2 linked regions of the Astyanax mexicanus genome follow. The protein of the gene in region 1 interacts with the protein of each later gene in a biochemical or structural test. Links are inferred from orthologs where the notes say so. Each region holds a gene or a part of one and is shown on either strand. Other genes may lie near its edges.

Region 1 (10,061 bases):
TTCTTTGTTTTTTTGTTTTTTTTTTTTAGAAAAATGCATCACTTTACTGTCAAATATCCAAGGAATACTGGCCAAGTAGATATTTACTATATACAGCTCTGGAAAAAAAAAATTAAGAGACCACTTCAGTTTCTGAACCATTTTTTTCTGATATTTTATAGGTATGTGTTTGAGTAATATGAACATTGTGGTTTTATTCTACAAACTGTAGACAATGTTTCTCCCTAATTCTAAATACAAATATTTTCATTTACAGCATTTATTTGCAGAAAATGAGAAATGTCTAAAATAAGATGCAGAGCTTTCACACCTTAAATAATGCAAAGAAAACAAGTTCATAAAGTTTTAAGAGTTCAGAAATCAATATTTGGTGGAATAACTTGTTTTTAATCACACTTTTAATGCATCTGGGCATGTTCTTGACTAGTCTTCCCACTGCTTTTGCACTTCTGGTGCAAATATTTAAGCAGGTTATCTTAATCCCGATGAGAATCTTTGGGATGTGCTGAAGAAAGCTTTGTGCAGCCAACAGACACTACCATTACAAATGCAAGATCTTAGTAAAAAAAGTATGCAGCACTGGTAAAGTAACCCTCATTAGAAGAACACTTCTTACCCATTGATATATCTACTACAATGTAAGAGACAGTCTGAAATCAGGGACTCGAGATGTTTACGAATCACAGTTAACTTTATTGTCGTATCTCTCCTCCACTGCAGAGGAACTCAAACAATCACTTCAAATCTTGTCAAATAAATCTCTCACCGTTTCATATCCCGTTTCCTTCTGCTTGTCATAAGAATATAGATTTAATCATTTTAATATGAAGCACTGAAACATGCACCACAGCATTCAGACAGCAGACTGGACAACATCCACTGTTTCAATGGAAACCAAGAAACAGCATTTCAATCCTTTAGTCCAGAAAGGAGCAGAAATGCTGCACTGAGAGAAAGTCCACTGATGTAGGAGGTGTAATTTATCTTTAACATCCATCTGTCCATCCATCCATCAGTATCAGTGAGAGAGGACAGACACAGATAAAGTGCTCAGTGTGATGAAGGAGGTTATGGAGAAGTTTGTGTATGTGTTTGTGTATATGTGTGTGTGTGTGTGTGTGTGTGTGTGTGATAGAGATTAGAGGCCCAGGGATTTGCGGACTATCTGTTTGGCCAATCGGTTGAACTGCTCTCTGTCCTCTCGCCACATCTTGGAAGCATCCACATTTGCTCCACTCTCATCATTTGGTTCTGAAAAGTAAGAAAAAGGAATAGCACCATTACCAACACTTCCATTAGTCAGCACACAGTTAGCCAGAATCAGAGTCGGATTATGGAGAGCCTGCCAACTTCCCATCTCCCCAGTTATATTAAAAAATGACTGCGAAACACTAGAGGCAGCCTGCTAGTAATCCCTCAATTAATGGGGGTAAATGGAGCTAAACTACTGGGATTCAAACTAGTGTTCTCGCAATCATAGTGGTAGCGTCCCAATGTTGTAAAACAAATCAATTAGTAAGTGCGTGGTGTTTCAGGGACAGATTTGTTCACACTGTTTACATCGTTCCCAAATAAAGGTCAATTAAGTGTGTGTGTGCATACCTGCAAGCATGCTGACCACAGACAGAAGGATTTTTTCAACACTCTGTACCGGACTCCATCTCTCAGCGCTGCTTTCATACCCCATTGGGTCGTCTCCCGGAGCATGCAGAATAGAGATACACACTCGGCCATCTGGATAAACTACACACACAATCAAACAGAAATTGTTTTAGTGAGAACGGTATCCAGTTCTTGTTAAAAACAAACTTCTAATCAGAAGCTGGGTGGATCTTCAGACCTAAAGTATTCATTCAAATCATGTGTCAGTAAACTCTTGCTGGTACCTGTAAATAACACTCAATAAAGTGGTATTTACTATTTGAAACTCTTTATGTTTTCTGTATGTTATGGCAAGTCCTTAAATGAAGACTTAATATGAATGAATTTTGTTTAATATTTTATAGTGTATTTAGACCACTTCATGTCTTGCTTTGAGAAATAATACTGATCTCCATGTTTTGCAGGAAAATCTTCCCCAAAACACACAAAAGTTGTATTTAATAGTTAACCATCTGTCTATATAACCTTTCAATTAACACGAAAACACTGCATGTTTTTCTAATCAGTTAAAGAATAGAATGAGGGATAAACTTACTGTTGGGGTGGAACATATCACAGGTGAATTTCATCTTGGGAGGACTGAGAGGGTAGTCTGATGGAAAGCTAAGAACAGCCGGGAAAACACCTCCTTCAAAACACGTGTCCTCAGGACCCCTAAAAGAGACAAATGATAATAATAAACTCTCTGCTTGCACTTATTTTTACAGATATATACCTTACTCTCATCATTATCAACACCACTAAAGTAAAAGATAAACAGAGCTGATGATTCCTCTTTCTTCTAGGCCTTGTCAACACATTTCTGAATATTTTTAAAAACAAAAACATCACTTATAAAATCTCTCCACGAACGAAAAACCCACTCCAAAACATGCATATGAGCAGGGCAGCCGAGCAGGGGGAAATAATATCTTATGGAAAATCATAAAAGTCAAACAGCTTAATGTTCTGACCAAACACATGCAAATAAAATACCTTATATTTTTTTTAAAAGACTTTATATTGTCACTTTTTTTTTAAACGTTTTCTTTCACTCTGAGACAAAAAGGCTTGCATAAGCATGCTAACGCTGCATAAGGTGATAGAGACCTCAAAACACCACAAAGAAAAATTTAAACACAGTTTATTCCCAAATTATACATTGTTAGGATTATGAAGGATCAATGGACAATTGTATTGTTTACCCCAGTTATGTTTGGGTTTAGTTAATATATCGTCCCAAGAAAATGTTATTGTGACAGACATATAGGGAGCAAGGCAGCATTTGTGATTTAGCCAGACACATTTATTTTATGAAGTTTAATTTTCCCTTTTAAATGACAAAAAGGTTTAAAAAATCTCCACCCTAGAAAGCATTTTTAAATTACAAACAGCACATTATTGTAGATAAATGAGATCAAAACACATAAAAAACGTTCTTGTTAATATCTGTATATGTTCAGGGGCAAGAAAAAGCATATTGTCCAGAACTCAGAAAGTCAGAGTGGACTAAATAAGGGTGCAGCTCAATAAACATAGCCCGATTAAACCTAAAAGGGAGGGAAGGCAGCTCTATTACAGATTTGTTTATGTGCCATGCCGATGCATTAGTCTCCAGAACAGTCAGACTTTATTAGTATAGTGTATGTACTTCACTCCTTCTGCCCATGAATAAAGATGATGTCAAACAAGTCAATATTTAGTATCTGCAGTGGAGCCAGCCCCCCAACTGAACAAGCTAAAGCAGCATGAGAAAATAGACTCACATGATCAGCGCCTCCCATTCAAAGAAGTTCTCCTCATTTACAGGACCTGCAACACACACACAGAGACACACTTCAGCTACTGTTTGCTGGTTCTGTCCGTTCCTATATGTATGTAAAGCTGCAGGTGTCTGTTTACCTGCAACGATTCCCTCTGGAGGATTCAGGGTCAGCTCTGATGAAAGAACACGAACACACACACACACACACTTAAATATACAATCAGAGACAAACCCACATCATCTAATATCTAATATCATTATCAATAATATCAAGAAGATCATTTCAACAAGAAAATTATGAAATTATATATAGCTTTAATAACTAGCTACCTAACTTAACCTATCTATGTAGGTTTGCTATTTAGCTGGAATAATAATAAACAATGGCCAGCTAGCCAATAAAATAAAAACAGTTTCCACTAAAACGTGTTTCAGCTTAGTTTACGCTTCATTTAAGGTCTTATTAAACGTCCGGAAATATTTATTTCTAATATTAAACATTAACTCGGGTCAGTTTAACAATAATAATAATCAGCTCAAGCTGGCGTTAGCTAACCCTGCTAAAGCTAGTTAGTAACTGGGGGAGTAGCACTGCCAGCTAATGGCTCAGCGGCTAGTCGCTGCTAGCTCCCTGATAAAACCGCAACAGGCCGCGCTTATTTAACTCTCTACCGGGAATCAATAACGTGTTTCCTTACGTTTATATTCAGCCATTAATCTTTTTAGAGCAGTTCCTGCCATCACGGCCCGTTCTCTGTGTGCAGCCCAGTCCACTCACATCTGCAGTACCAGCGCTCACTCACAGGGGGCGCCACCCCATCACAGAGCACCACCGACATCTGCGCAGTCTGACTGACAAAGAGTACAAAATAAAAGCCCCAGAGCGTATCTTGCTTTACATTTTGTGCTCATCTCACTCAAATCTCACCTGCTTGCAATCATATTTTTTTTTTGCAGAAATATTATTTATTAATTAAACACAGACAATGTATTGTCTTAGTTTATCCAGAGCGCTAAAGTTGATTTCAGCATGCATGTAGGTTGCAAAAAATATAAATAGATAAAAACACATACATTAAGATCATTCAATTCATATAATAAACACCGGTTAACTGTTTAAAGTCACCTTTAAATTTCATAAGATAACCATTAGTCAGTGTCTAGAATCAGTCACAGCTCGCTGTTATGATCTTTAACACTACGATAACATGATTACTAGCCGTTTTATGCATCATTTTATGTTATTTTTAATGCATTATTTAATGTAAGACTTTTATTATGTAATTTAATAGAACGATATCGATGGTCGCAGCGCCGCCTGTAGCGCGTTCTGTCGGGCAGAGCAGTAACAACAGCGCTGCCTCCATGGCAACAGTGGCGGAGTTAAAGTCCGGTAAGTTTTGTTTAAATCTGGGTGAATAATCAGGCTATTAACGATTAATTAGATAGTGTAATGTATTGCACAGATGTATTTTAAGATCGAGCATTTGCACTTCGGTATCTGAAGGACAGCAGCAGCTTGGCTACTAGGAAACAAAACACCAAACTGGAGTTGAATGTTCCGTTCCACCTTAAATTTGGTAGCTGTAACAGTAGGAACGTCTCTGGCGCCAGATTAGAGCTACGGCGCCGTTTAAGGTGGAATTGAAAGTACGAATACACACAAACTTCTGTTTTGACATTTAAGCGTGTTTGTTGAGCTTTGTTTAATTATGTTCTGTCATGTGTTTCTGTTGCAGCTCTGCGGGAGGCACTGGAGGCGCGGGGTGTTTTGGGGCAGCTGAAGGCCCGGATCCGATCTGAAGTCTTTCGGGCACTGGATGACCAGAGTGAGGAGCGACCCCCCTTGACCCATGAGAACTTGCTGATTAATGAACTGATCCGTGAATACCTGGAGTTCAATAAGTACCGATACACGGCATCTGTTCTAATCGCTGGTGAGCTGAGGAGGGGTGCTGTACTCAATTTTATTTCTCGTTTGGTTAATAATAAAGGCTGGGTGATAAAACAGTAATTTCACGTCATGGTCTTTGCATCACAACACATGTTACAAGCAAGGTTATGTGGTACTTTATTTTCGAAAGGATTTGGGAAATTATGAAGATTCTTACTTCCTCTGCCCATTTCCCAGTCCTATTTCCACACCTCAAGTTGCCAGGTATGGAACACATTAGCAGGCAAACACAGTGTGCTGCTGCAGATGGGTTATCAAGGCAGTGAGAATTTGAGACAGGTAAAGTGTAAATGGTAACTGCATTTAGTCACAGTGGAGGACCAGACAGGCCTTAGATGTTTAATACATCAGTAGCAACCGCATGACCGAATTATATTGACTAACTTTAGCAACAAATAGAAACCTAATTTGCCATTGCAGATGTTTTTGTACTTGTTTTGCACTCTGATCGGCATCCTTAACCAGGCATCTGTCTGGGGCCTTTTTACACTTCTATATATTTAGCACATATTGTTCCTTTAACTGAGTATTTATTGTTGTAATATATCTGAGAAACTACCCCAGTGCAGTAATTAAAATCAGTAGATAACATGATCAGATCTCACAGCCTCAGGTCTGCAGTTTCATCACTCATAGTGTCAACATTAAAAAACATTTTAAAGTACTAAAAGTGTTGAGTGTGTTTCAGAGTCAGGTCAGCCTGAGGTTCCTCTGGACCGGCGGTTCTTGGCAAGTGAGCTGAATGTTGTAGAAGAGCCGAGTGCTGCAGCAGTGTAAGTATTCACACTCATTTACACAATGCACCTGTCCCCTTACTACAGAGCTCTCCACAGTTTTCATATTAAATTTAGTAAAATGTTCTGGGAATCATTTTGCCAGAGCCTTTGCAGGAGAATCAGGTTTTTAAATCCATCACTTTTTTACCGCTCATTTCTGGGTGTAAAACAGCTGTAATATTCCAGCTTCTGTGCAGTTCAGTCATACCTTTAGACTGATGCAGTTTAACTCCTTCAGCTTCTTCAGAACTTCTTTATATGACTGTGTTTCTGTTTGTTTTTCAGTCCTCTGCTATATAGCCTGCTCTCACACTTCCTCAGCAGTGCAGACAGCGGAAAACTTTTCCTGAGGAACCCTCCGAACCCCCAACAACACCCCCAACAAGCCAATAAGGGTGACGGAGAGAGTTTATAAGCTCTCAAGGGATCAGATCAGATTATTCAATTACTGTTTACATGTTAAAGTGCCCAAACAGCTCATTTTAATGTGTTTTTGCCTTGAGTACAAGTTAAATGTTGTGTGTAACAGGCAATTTAAGAGTGTGTGCAGGTAATGAGATGTTTATTAGTGTAAAATATTAATATTAATTCTCATGCATTGTCTGTTTTAATGCTGTTTTATATTTTCTCGTATTAAACCTTCTTTGTTGCACAGTAATATTGTCTCCGACTGTCTGTAATTCATGTGCTGACCACCGGGGGAGCACACAGCTGAAAGATTTTGGCTGTTCAAATGATTTACACAAATCCACATGAATTGATCATAATTCATTTTTTATTTTAATTTACTGCCTGGAAAGTTTTGATCCACGTTCCAAATGAGTCCTCTACAGGAGCTGTTTTAATCCTGTTGGGAACATTCTGTTCTTTTGTTTTATTTAGTACTGAAATTAGTCCTGTACTGACATTCGACCTCTAACCTGCTCTAATACACCAGCGGATCATGATCATTGAGTGGAAGTAGGAATCAACTGTTCTACAACATCTCCCAAACAAGCTTAAATCTGTGCAAATGTATTATCTTACTAATTTAATGTAAATAATGTCATTTAATTATCCCCCTTTAAATTGAAATTGAACACACACACATATATATATATATATATACACTCACTAGTATTTGATTATGAAGTAGGTATATATAAGTGTTAAAGCGGGGAAATACTCATATATGCGAAATATGTACTTAATCCTGTCATTTTCTGAGTGTGGTTACAAAGCACAATGCAATGCAAAACAGGGAGTAAGGAACTATTCAGATACTGGCTGTTTCTGTCAGTTTAGAAATGCTTTAAACTTTAAAATGATTCTGAGGCAGGAAGGCACCATATCAATTATGAATCAAAGTTTACTAATCTTGCCTTGCATTTTCTTGAACAAAATGTTAATAGTAAATGAGAACACGGCATTCATAATCATTTATTGAGCTGGCAATACCTTGGTAGATGTGCCACCCCTCAGCAACTAGCAGGATTCTCCAGCATACAGATGACTGCTCCCTTACGCCTGCAAATCATACAGTATATAATATACAATTATCTGAAATTGATACTTTATTTGTTATTTGTGCCTTTGCTTGTGCTCAGTAAAAATCAGTTAGCAGGTTTAGGAGAGTTACTTGAAAATGTACTGTAAGTTGTTATAGGCTACAGGTTACTGTTAAAAATGTAATGTAAATGTAAATGTCTTTTGACATTTCAATCTATTTATTTTCTTTTACACTAAGCTTAATATTCTCCACCTAAAGGGGTCATTATCACTCAACTAGCTCCTGTGTGTCATTAAAAACATGAAAAGAATAAAAACGAAAGCAAAACCACAACCTCCTGTAGTATGTGCTAACCTGAACCCCCCTAACACTGACCAGAAATAAGCTTCCCTGTTAACTGTGTAAAAATGCCCAAACTGCTGAAAATAGATCCTATTACATTGCCTGGTCAAAAACAGTCGCCACCAAAAAAAAGGTCACACACTCTAATATTTTGACCGCCATTAGCTTTGATTGCGGCACTCATTCGCTGTGGCATTGTTTTGATAAGCTTCTGAACTGTTTCAATCCAGCGTTGCATTTAGTTTACACCATTAAAGATGGTAGAGTTTGACCACTGCGCAAAGCCTTCTCCAGCACATCCCAAAGATTCTCAATGGGGTTAAGGTCTGGACTCTATGGTGAACAATCCATGTGTGAAAATGATGATCTCATGCTCCCTGAACCACTTTTTCACAATTCCAGCCCGATAAATCCTGACATTGTCATCTTGAAATATACTGATGGAATAACCTGGTCTATATTCAGTATATTCAGGTAGTCAGCTGACATCATTCTTTCAGCACATACTGTTGCTAAACCTATACTTGATCAACTGCAGCACCGCCAGATCATTTGCTTACTTAAATCCAAGTGCCGACTTTTTTTTTTGGTCAGGCAGTGTACATGGCAAACACTGCTTACATATTCTGAAATCAGAGACAGGTAGGTTCCGAAAATATATTTCATTTTAATTGCTAACACAGCTATCTGCTAACTGGTCTCATAAACTGAACACCAGAATAATGTCAGGAATCACAGCTGTGATTTATTTACATCACTGCCCTGACTTGTGAGACAGTGAGGCATTGAAAAAGCCGCTCAGTTTTGGACACAGCCTAGTATTAGTGCTGCGGTAATTAGCACTGTAGCATGACTGAAAGAGAGGGAATAGTGAAAGTGGTGTATGTTCATCAGTGTCAGTGAAGACATGAACACTAATAAAACTTGCGGTAATTAGTTGTTGTACAATGTGACATCCATTACAGGCAGGCCCAGTTTTCTTCTAAGGATTGACCAGGTGCTGTCATCCACTTCCCTTAATTGGTCTTGGTTCTGGCTGAGCGCAGTTAGTGTGTGTGTGTGTGTGTGTATTGCAGGTTTGTAAACATAGCACAGATATGTTTCTGCGCGGTCCTGTTAGTTGTAACAATGCCATTAGTGCTGCAGAAGCTGAACCATATTTAGTCACTTGGTCTTTCCTTTAAACACAGAATGCAGACGGGATTCCAGCCGGACCCCACTGACCTTATATGGCACACCACACGTCCAACAGTACATCTTCCTCTCTCTCTCTCTCTCTCTCTTTCTCCCTTACTACTCTACTCTTACTCTCCTTTCATTCTTTTAATCCACCAGGCCACCGAACACTTTCTAGGAAAACAGTAAAACATTACTTTGGAAACATGCAGGCAAGGGCCATCAACTGCACCCACAAAATACAGCAGTTTACTCTCGTCTTTTCATCTTATAGCAGTTAACTATTGTCTATTTAACCTACAGCAGGTCTTGTCTACTCGGCCTACAGCAGTTTAGTCTTGTCTACTTAGCTTATAGCAGTTTAGTCTTGTCTACTTAGCTTATAGCAGTTTAGTCTTGTCTATTCACTCTACAGTAGTTTAGTCTTGTCTATTCAGCTTATAGCAGTTAACTCTTGTCTTTTTAGTCTACAGCAGTTTACTCTTGTCTATTCAGCTTATAGCAGTTAACTCTTGTCTTTTTAGTCTACAGCAGTTTACTCTCGTCTATTCATCTTATAGCAGTTAACTCTTGTCTATTTAGCCTATAACAGGTCTTGTCTATTCAGCCTACAGCAGTGTAATCTGGTCTACTCAGCCTACAGCAGTTTAGTCTTCCAATATTTAGCAATATTTTATAGCACACCAGCATAAGTGTGTGCATATATGCATACATTTCATTATTTTAATATTTTTAGAGGAATTGGAGATTGATACTAAAGTCATCCAACCTGTAAAGATTTATTAAATGTATTACATTATTTAATAAGTAAGAAAGTGCTAAACAAAACAGAATGTTTTATATTTTAAATTCTTCAAAGTGGGCACCTCATTCTTAGATGACAGCTTTACACAACATGACTTTTTTATATTAATATCT
Region 2 (10,525 bases), on another chromosome or scaffold:
ATTGATAAACAGAAACACAAACTTTTGTAAAACAAATTTCCATGATTTTTCCAAAACTTATCCAGGCCTGGGAATTGCCATTTTTCAATTCTATGAGATTTCAAGTCAGTGTACTCAGTTTGGGAAAGCATTTGAATTGTGGTTCTGTCACTACAAATGCATTCTGACTGCACTGTGTGTATTGCAACCCATACAGTATTGTATCTTAAATATACATGACACTATTTTTATCATATGCCCAGTCATACTGTAGGCCTAGAGATTGCAAGAAAACTAAATTAGGTGAAGTGGCAGGGTAATAAAGCTACAGATCGTCAGTAAACAAGCTGGCACGATTTCTCTATGCCATAAACATTCTGTGAAAACTGATTAAGGAGTCTGTATTCAGAGCATTTTAAACAGATCATTTTACTGAGGTGCAGTAAAACACTTAATAGTCGAATTTGTCTTCATTTGCACACTCACTGTTAAAGTCTTTTAAAGTAAGTGAGTACTAAGTAGAATCATGTTCTTGCTAATCAAAGTTTGTAGCACCTGCAGGCTGGCCATGAAACCTGTTCAATACTGATGCAGGCTACTTTTCAGGAACGCAGAAACACCACTCCCATCTCAGGTTGCATGCATTATGTCTTCAATTCCTTTCATTTGGTGCTCTGACTATCATTTATTGGCTGACTGCACCATCTACCTCTCTGTTCATGCTGATAAAAGCACAAGAGCCAATTAATAGATTTGTATCAATGGTTTTGTATCATGTGTCATATTCTGATAGTTTAACTGTGTTTATTTTGACAGATAATATACATTTCTGAATATATTGTAAATACTGCAAGTATTAAAAGAGAACTACAGTGTGAAATGGACTTAGGTTGTAGTGAAACATGATACCGGGTACAAACTTTTGTCGAAAAGCCCACCTCTGCTCACCCCCAGCATTCCAAAATACAGCATTTTTTAAGACAATGCTCCCAATGCTCCCAGGTGGGTTATTTTACAAATGTTTGTACTCGTTATCATGTTTCACTACACCCCAAGTCCATTTCTCACCAGATTTCACCTTTAAAGAAAGTGTCTAACAGCATATTCTATTACAAAGAAAATGTTGTTGTTTTCACACAAAATGCTAACTGTCCAAAAAAGCAACTTTACACAAGAAAAAAAAATCTTCGGCTTCAAGTCAATGTAAAAAGACTTTATTCCAAGTCATTTTACAGCATTCTTATCACCTCATTCATCATGAAATTCTGATGAAATTTTAATGGAAAGAACAATTCTTAAGAGGTGCACTGTCAAAAAGTGAAAACCAGCAAAGAAAGAGAAGCAAGGTTTCTGTGCAACAAAGAGGATAAGTAATTTTTGTCTGATTATTGTGCACAAATCCTATAGTAAAAATAGGCCATAAGTCATTTTGAGTTAAGAAATTCTTTTTAACAAACTAAAACCTACTGAAACCAGTAACTGTAGAAAGTACATTGTTTTTTGTTGTTTTTTTTTTAAATGGGTCTGTGGAGCCTCAACACGAATTCCTCTACAAAGTTTTATTGGTGAGAATGTATTTTTGTCCACTTACCAGATTTCCCCACTTTTATAATTATCTTTGTCTACAAAACCTTTATTTGGAGGTGTGCAAATTCATTCTGTTGCAATCAGGTCTTTGTTATGAAGAGAAGGCTTTATATAAACCCTGTTAAACCTGTGATTGTTCTTGCTCTGCCACTGCCGTGGCTGATTAAGTACGCCAGCCGTCAGTTTTCTTTTTTTTCTTTTTACATTGCTTTATAATATTTTTTTAATTATAACACAAAGATTTTGTCAAAATCTCTAGCGCTCTAGAGAAGTTTATAGAGGCCTTTCGTTGTTATGTCTCAAAACAGACACAAATCAGAGGCATTGTGTGAAAGGGTCGTAAGCAACCAATGTTAAACTGACCTTTTTTTTTTGTTTGTTTTTTTATTCTAAATTGTTGATAAAAAAAATATGCTCTTGCTACATCATTAAAGCAAGCATTACTGCTTGAGAACACATTTAAAGCCCGATCTGGTTGTTCAGCTTAATGTTATATTTATTATGACGGAATATTAAATTAGGAAGATTTTCTTCTGAAACTTTACACTTAAGACAAGCTTTTAAAGTTCGGCACCTGACTATAATGTGTCTGTGTCCTGAAAAGGCCTAAATATAGGTCAGTTTGGCACAGAAAACCAGTAATAGGACTGGATGCTCTGTGTGGAATGTGAGAAAAACTGGCACTTACCATTCTTGATGAATGAATTTAATACTTCCAGTGCAGACACAGGGGTGGTAGAGGGGTTTGTCTAGAGTTCCCTCAGACCGACACACTCTACATATGTCAGCTGCAAAAAATAAAAAAATAAAAATAATTAATATAATTAATAATAATAATTAATAATAACTAATAATTAGTATCAGCAGGTCTACAACTTTTTTGCTGCAAAGTAACAAAACATACTGAACATGTCCGTTCATTTTTAAGGTATTAATTATGCAGGTCACAATAATTACATTATCAGCTCATCCTTTAATATATGGACATGACGTTAATCGTTTCTGCTGTCCTCCATATTGCCCATTTTTTGTTGCCAAGGATATAAATGATGGGTGTAATTGCATTGTTAGGCTATAATATCATTGTATAAATTGGTAGCATAACAATATCTTAAAATAACAATTAAATCATTCACCTCAATAATTTCCAGAACAATCTATTGTTAAAAAAAAATGTCATCTTAACATTAATCATTGTGGACATGATTGTCATGGCAACATTGTGGTTATAATAATTTAATGGATGTATTTTTTCTGGCTCTGAAAAAAATAAGAGCCCACTTTAAAAAAATATGCGTTTCTTTTTTTTTATTTCACAATTTTGAAAACCTCTGGAATAAAACCAGGAGAAAGACAGATGATAACAAGCAATCAAACCAAGCTGAACTGCTGGAATATTTGCACCAGGAGTGCAGGCATAAAGTTATTCAAAAGGAGTGTGAAAGACTGGCGGAGGAGAACATGCCAAGATGCATGAAAACTGTTATCATAAACCAGTTATTCCACCATATTGATTTCTGAACTCTTAAAACTAAACTTGTTTTCTTTGCATTATTTAAGGTCTGAAAATATTTCAACATCTTTTTCTTATTTCTGTCATTTCTCTTTTTTTTGCAAATAAATGGCAATATATATTTTATTTGGAATTTAGGAGAAATGTTGTCTGTAGTTTATAGAATACAACATGCTCATTTTACTCAAACATAAACCTATGAATAGCAAAAACAGAGAAACTGATTCAGAAACTGAAATTGTCTCTTGTTTTTTTCCAGAGCTGTGTTACTTAGAAAATTCATGAGTTAAAATGACTGAGTTATTACTACTGTACGAATTGTACACATACACATACACACACAAGTCTCCATTGGCTATTTGGGGTTAAATAGCCACAACAACTGCCAAATGTTTTTTTTTTTGTGTGTTTTATGAAAAACATTTGTTATTTTAGGAATGTTTCGATTCGCAAGTGTGTGTTAAAAGCGAATGTTTTGATCCCCAGTAAATGCTAGTTAGCTAACCCTAGTCCACATAATTCTGTTGTGCTACACCTGACACTACTTACTGAACTGTGAGTAATATACTCAACGTTTTCCAGTCATCGCTGCAGATTTCAGCGATTTTGAGGAACCAGAAATATACGTTAGCTAAGCTAACTAGCTTGTAAGTTAGCAGTGGTGGTAAAATAAAACTGCTGTGCTGAACCATTTAGTGCTTAACTAACCCACTTTCTGAGAAACCTCCAGAAAACAGAGCTCACCCGACTGACTCTAACAGTGCTAAAAGCTAGCTAACAGTCAATACACACTATAAATTGAATACCTCACTGCGTTAGCTTAGCTAACCTTGTTAGCTAACCAGTCTGTTTTAAAGAAAAACACAGCTCAAATATCAGTGCGGGGGTCTTTGTTGACTGAGTTCAGGGCGATGACATGTTTACTAGCAAAGCAAAGCTAGCATTAGCTAAGTAGCTAAATAGCTAGCGTTACGGTTCACAGCGCAGGGCCACATAGTCCAGTCTAACTTGGAAGCTATAAAGCTAGCATTAGCCAACCCAGCTAACCCAGCTACAGCTAACTAACAGCAGCCCGGCCTGAACGGCGGTGTTTGCGCCCCGTACTTCGGATCCATATTGAAACCCAGGCTAACCGCTCACATTAAACAGCCGTGCCCAGAGCCCGTCTAATTTTAGAGCCCAGTTAAAGCCCGTTAAAGGTCCGGAGCTTACCCTCTTCTCCAGTGTCCATCTTGTCGCTGGTCGTGACGCACTGTCCTCTTTACAGTCCGCTCATAACCCCGATCCGCTACAGCTGGAAAACAACAACAGCTTCCTAACGCCTCACCAACACACACATCTCCAGACCAGCCGCACACCGGACACCAGCTCCGCACACCGGACACAACCGCTCAGTTTAGTGTTAGCTAACTAACCCCCTTCAGACGCCCACAAAACCTGTGCTCGGTAAAATGTCAGTGAACTACATCTCCCATCAACCCCTGGAGCACAGCTCAGCACTGTTTCCGGCAGGACAGCGCACGAGGACAGAGGCTACGACAGATACTACACTCTGTGATGGATTACGGGTGTTTAATAGTGAACTATATAGGGGCTAGACTTTACCTCACTTTTGAAATCATTTAGAAAAATAAGAAATGTAAAAACTGTAAGAAGAACTGTAGGAATTTATAATGAGCTGTCACTGACCTTTTGTTAATGTATCCTATTTTTTTTTTTTTTTATTTAGGCCAATTGTGCTCTCTCAGGGCCCCTGCAGCCGATGGCAAGCTGCATGAATAGGATTCGAACCAGTGATCTCCCGATCAGAGTGGAAGAGCAGTTTTTTCCCATTGCATTGGAATTAGCTGTTACTTTGCCCCAATGACTCTAGTACTACTGGTTTTCCAGTAGTAGGCAGGCCAAGTTACTGTTTCATTGGTTTATAAACGTGTTCCTTGGTTGGCATGGTCTTTTCCTTTGAACAACTCTCAAACAGTGTTATGTTTTTTATAAAAAAAGAAAATACATGATGTCCATTGTAATGGATGCAGGGTGTGAAAGGGTTAATTGTGGATGTTTAAACTCCTGCTCATTGCAGAGAAAATACTACATTTCTAAAATGTTACAAAATGCCAATCAGATAAAAGTGAAAGCCTTGTGTGTTACTTATTTTATGTATTTTTATTTGCTTATAAGAAGTGATTATCTATGTTCTACTAACCTTTGGGATTTGTATTATTTGGGAGTTGTACTATTTTTACAGAATGTATTACAAAATAAAATAAATGAATGAATTTATTAATAAAAAATGTGCGCTTGTGTGCTCTGTGGGCGTGGCCAATGTGATGTCACTCTAAAATCCCTAAAAGACTTCCTGGGTAGGATACTTTGGTGTATTCTCTGTTGGAAAAAGCTGCAGGGAGATTTGAAGCCCTTCTTTCATCTGCTCCAGTATTCAGACAGACGACAAGATGACTAAACAAAATCAGTCTCTGGGTCATAGAGGAAAGGAGGAGGATCAGTAGGAAAAAGTAGAAGTTTCTGTAAACAGCCATGAAATAAAATGTACTGATTAAATTTTAAATTGGACCACAATATGGCTTACATACCATATAATGCACTATTTCTATATATAATGAGGAGGTTATATATAATGGAACAGAGTTACAAATGAAAGGGGTGAAATTCTCCCCCCAAGAATTGGGACAACCATTCATTCAAGAAGGTGACCTCTGGCTTGAATAATTTTACCATGTTCTTTCATAGTCAGGAGCCCCCCAAGGCTGTGTATATGTGTTAATGTGTGTCGTGCTTATGAGTGAATCAGAGAGAGAAGCGCCCAAAATATACTATATGGTGGCACAGTATTTGGGCAAAGAAGCCATTACTTACATGATCAAAGACAGTTAAATAGAGCAAATGGAGTGTTTGAAGTTTTCAGAACTATTATGTGCTACTGAATATATAAAATGCATAGAAGATAAACTGTAATATCATACAATATAGTGCTTAAGTGGTGCACGGTTGGGGCATTAAACCCTATATTGGTGCATTTAATTCCAGCATAATTAGTCTCTAGTTTGACAATAGATAATACAAAGGAAAGATGGACTCACTTTTGTATAGATAATCTTTTCTTATTTAATTGTGTGTAATAAAACTATTAACATTGAATTGTTAACTTAACATAATAAACAGGAATCCTCCTCCAGCCCATTTACTGTAATAGACAGTACATTCAGTGCAAAGTGCATCATTGAGGGAGAGTCTTGCTGTCTTCAGGGTTGTTCAGCGGCTTTGCTGTTGTCACTTGAGATTTGAATGTCTTAGCATCATACACCCACACAGTGTCAATTCCTTCTCCAGCCATGTGGTCAGGAGTCCATGTGGGGAACGGGAAGCGGCAGGCCACGACTTTGGCTGAGGTCTGAAGCTCTGACTGCAGTTTGGCTTCTAGTTGTTCCATCTGTGGAGTGAATATTTATAACTTCATTTAGAACATGTACTTGACACAAATGGACAAATCCTCAATGGTCTGTGCTGCAGTATCACAGTAAAACTCCACGATTGCAGCACAGTACCCATAAGGATTTTCTTTCTGTATATTTTATTTTGGAAACAGGAAATTAATGACTTGAATTTAAAAACACAGATTCCACCGCAGTGATATAATTGTAAAGACATAGCAAAGGCTTATAAAAGTGAGGCTTAGTCAGGTAAACAATACCTGAGATCTTTACATTTAGATAAAGATCTGAGAACTGAGATCTGAAAAACTGAGAATGTTGAGCATCTGTCAATACACACTATAAACTAATGACTTTTCTTTTGCTTTGTGTAATATCTGTTAACTAATCCTTTCATAGCACTGTACACTAGGGCTATAAAAAATATTGACATATCATGATTATGTATTGCAACTGTATAGATTCTCAAAAATACAGCACACATTTTCAATTAAAAGTTCACACGTATTGTGTTTGAACACTGAACAGTAGAGGGCAGTGCTTTCTCAATTTCACTATTCTGATTGGATTAAAGTAAACATTTTCTTAACTCAGTCAAAGAACTAAATTGACTGTATAGCTCATGTTCATGCAAAAGCTTTACACTGCATTTAAAGGGAAATGTAATTATTTTATTACAAATTGAAAGATTTTTATGTCGCCTTCTCTAAATGTCTCTAACTGATGTAGATTGTGGCACCCACTCTAAATCACTGAACATAGGCCAAATAAGATCCCCCCAAAAAATATCACAAATCTGTCAATGTATTAGACCGGATTGAGATATAAAAATGTGTGTATTCTTACCATTTGGGGAACTCCAAATATGACCACATTAGAGTACTGTGAAAAACTGACCTATAAAAGAAAAAAAAGAGACAACAATAAGAAAGAATAGAAAAGGAAACATTATATTTTATGTGTACGCTAAAGGTATTGAGAAGTACTGTAAGGTACTGTCAGAAAAACAGAGTATTAACAAACTCTCAGTTATTCTTCAATGACAAATACGTTTTTTAAAATGACCTACTCAGACCTTTTAATTGTTTGGGGTGATGTCTCTGATCAATCAAAAATAGAAAGGTACACAATGCAACAATTGCCATGACCCTTTAGAGACACATATTTAAAGTCTTTGCTATCTCCAACCTTAACAATCTTACAATGATTTGCAGCTGGCCTCCAATGCACTTTAACATGAAGATTAAAGGAGAACTCTAGTGTAAAATGGACTTTTGGTGTAGCAACACATGATAAAAAGCACTTACCTTTGATGAATAGCACAACTCCATTCTCCCACAGCGTTCCGAGATCCAAACACCCTGACATGGAGCATAATTTACCCCGATAACTTGCTTTTTCCACAGTTATCCAGGCTCAAAATAGCTCCACACCCCTTTGCTAAAATCCAGAGAGCCCTAACATTTAAAACGAGGCATTAATAACTTAAAAAGTGCAAAAGGTGCTTATTAAGACCACTGTTTACATCTAGCTTTAGCTCCGTGCGCCACTACCACTCTACTAATAATAACACAGACATATATATACATAGACTCCGCATAGCGTAGCGGCCGGCATCTATGTATATGTCTGTGTATAATCTATGTCTGTCATTATCAATACAAAGATGGCAGTGCACGGAGCTGAAGCTAGATGTAAACAGTGGTCTTAATAATTTAATGGTTTTTAATAAGCTTCTTCTGCACTTTTTAAGTTACTAATGCCTCTTTTTAAATGTCAGGGCTCTCTGCATTCTAGCAAGAAGGTGTGGAGCTACTTTGAGCCTGGATAACGGTGGAAAAGGCGATTTATCGGGGCAAGTTATCCCCCGTGTCACCCAGTCTCAAGGGTGTTTGGACAAATTGTTAAAATTTCTGGATCTCGGAACGCTGTGGGAGAACGGAGGTGTGCTCTTCATACAAGGTCAGTACTTGTTATCTTGTTTTACTACAGCAAAAGTCCATTTTACACCGGAGTTTTCCTTTAAGTAAGGGGGTTGTTACTGTTGACTTTATATTTAATTGCTCTATTGTATATGCACATCAGGAGCACAAACTGTTCAGATGAATGTCAGATATAGATAAGATTAAAATAGTCTGCCTAAAGAAATGAAACTAGGTGAGAAAACCAGATGTGGAGCACTTTATATGATGTGTATGAGGTAAAAGTGTATGTAACGCTGTAAATATATACAAAATGTATAGAGTTTAAAGATTTTGTTTGAGGAGGTCTAGGGTAACCAGTTCTGAAACTGTTTGTGTGAGTGCAATCCTATTGCTTACTTTCCACAGGTCTGATAAATAAAAAGAGGTGCGGTGATGAACTCCCTCCCTCCAAGCTCTGTAACGAGAGTACAACACCAGCCACGGATTCAGCTCAAAGCCAACTGCCCTGAAACCCTCTTTTGCTGCAGCTATAACCTGTTGGGGACAAGATAAGTAGAGAAGTAGCTGGTAAGAAATAAACCAAGCATTTTCAGTGTTTAAGTAATCTTTTTTTTTTTCGTTTTCAATGCAATAACAAAAAATAAATAGTGGTTTAACATAAACAATATAATTAAGACACTACGTTGGATTTATTTTACAGTCTCAGTTCTGGTCTATTTGTTTTTATTGGACATGTTTAGTTATATTACCCTTCTAGTAAAGAACAGTAATAGTTAGGTCAGGGAGGGGATTGGTAGGAAAAACACTTTTTTTTGGATAGATACATGCAGGTACAAGTAATAGTCCACACACATATCCAGAGATTTTTAAAAACAGTATAATCTGCAGCATTAAGCATAAGTTTTGTTTATTACAGCATCTTACCTTCACTTTTAATTTAATAAAAACATGCACACCGTAAAATACAGTAACTTAAGGTTACATAAAAAATAGGATATGTATGGAATGGTTTAATAACCAAAAGATGATTTGTCGCCTGAGGGACAACATTTATGCCATAGAGGGTTAACAGATGATAATTAATCCAAAGAAGTGTGTGGTATTATCTCGTCACTATTTCCTCTCTTTACTCCTGTTTCTCCAGTTTTATTGTTTACATTTTCCAAATAGTATAATAATTTCACTGTAACGTGTAAGCTTGCAACAAGATTTAAGATAATAGAAAAATGTATAAGCGGCCAAATATCCTTCTTTACATATTCTTCCACATGTGCATGTTTTTATTTTTGACCCCCTTGTATGCCTTGTTGTACTGGATGCAGATATTTCTTGTATACATAAATAACTATAAATATTTAAATGTTCCCAATATTACCCTGGCTTAGCGCTTAGTGGCTCAGGATTCGTCAGTGTTACGCTGTTGGGCAGCACTATGTCTGTCATTATCAATACAAAGATGGCAGCGCACGGAGCTAAAGCTAGATATAAACAGCGTTTTTTAATAAAGTTATTGTGCAGTTTTTAAGTTATTAATGCCTCATATTAAATGTCAGGACTCTCTGGATTCTAGCAAGAAGGTGTGGAGCTACTTTGAGCCTGGAGGGGTGAAATAAGCGCTTTATCAGGGCCAATTACCCCCGTGTCATGCAGTCTGAAGTGTGTTTGGACAAACTGTTAATTATCTGGATCTCGGAACGCTGTGGGAGAACGGAGGTGTGCTATTCATCCAAGGTAAGTAATTTTTATCATGTTGTACTACACCAAAAGTCCATTTTACACCAGAGTTCTCCTTTAAGTAAGGGGGCTGTTACTGTGGAATCTATTGTATATGCACATCAGGAGCACAAACTGTTCAGATGAATGTCAGATATTGATAAGATTAAAATAATCTGCCTAAAGAAATTTAACTAGGTGAGAAAAACAGATGTGGAGCACTTTATATGATGTGTATGAGGTAAAAGTGTATGTAACGCTGTAAATATATACAAAATGTATAGAGTTTAAAGATTTTGTTTAAGTACGTCTAGGGTAACCAGTTCTGAAACAATATTGCCCTGGCTTAGCGCTTAGTG

What was found.
Region 2: the proteins of ube2g2 (region 1) and marchf6 form a complex in vitro, tested with the Homo sapiens proteins (2 studies listed by BioGRID). The link is inferred for Astyanax mexicanus from reciprocal best matches to the Homo sapiens genes UBE2G2 and MARCHF6.

Annotation. Positions count from the first base shown.
Region 1 is NC_064412.1:25,902,639-25,912,699, forward strand, and holds ube2g2 (ubiquitin-conjugating enzyme E2 G2), read right to left. Parts: upstream 4,249-10,061; 5' UTR 4,148-4,248; coding exon 4,105-4,147; intron 3,580-4,104; coding exon 3,544-3,579; intron 3,454-3,543; coding exon 3,408-3,453; intron 2,317-3,407; coding exon 2,198-2,316; intron 1,744-2,197; coding exon 1,603-1,743; intron 1,252-1,602; coding exon 1,139-1,251; 3' UTR 673-1,138; downstream 1-672. Other genes in the region: cep20 (lisH domain-containing protein FOPNL), read left to right, coding at 4,709-4,799, 5,146-5,343, 6,049-6,133, 6,422-6,551. UniProt on the Homo sapiens protein: Accepts ubiquitin from the E1 complex and catalyzes its covalent attachment to other proteins. In vitro catalyzes 'Lys-48'-linked polyubiquitination. Involved in endoplasmic reticulum-associated degradation (ERAD).
Region 2 is NC_064415.1:39,736,831-39,747,355, reverse strand, and holds the start of marchf6 (E3 ubiquitin-protein ligase MARCH6), read right to left. Parts: upstream 4,568-10,525; 5' UTR 4,311-4,567; coding exon 4,292-4,310; intron 2,355-4,291; coding exon 2,255-2,354; intron 1-2,254. Other genes in the region: atpsckmt (ATP synthase subunit C lysine N-methyltransferase), read right to left, coding at 6,315-6,527, 7,375-7,425, 8,850-8,987. UniProt on the Homo sapiens protein: Endoplasmic reticulum membrane-associated E3 ubiquitin ligase that plays a critical role in mitigating endoplasmic reticulum stress, the regulation of cholesterol and lipid homeostasis, and ferroptosis.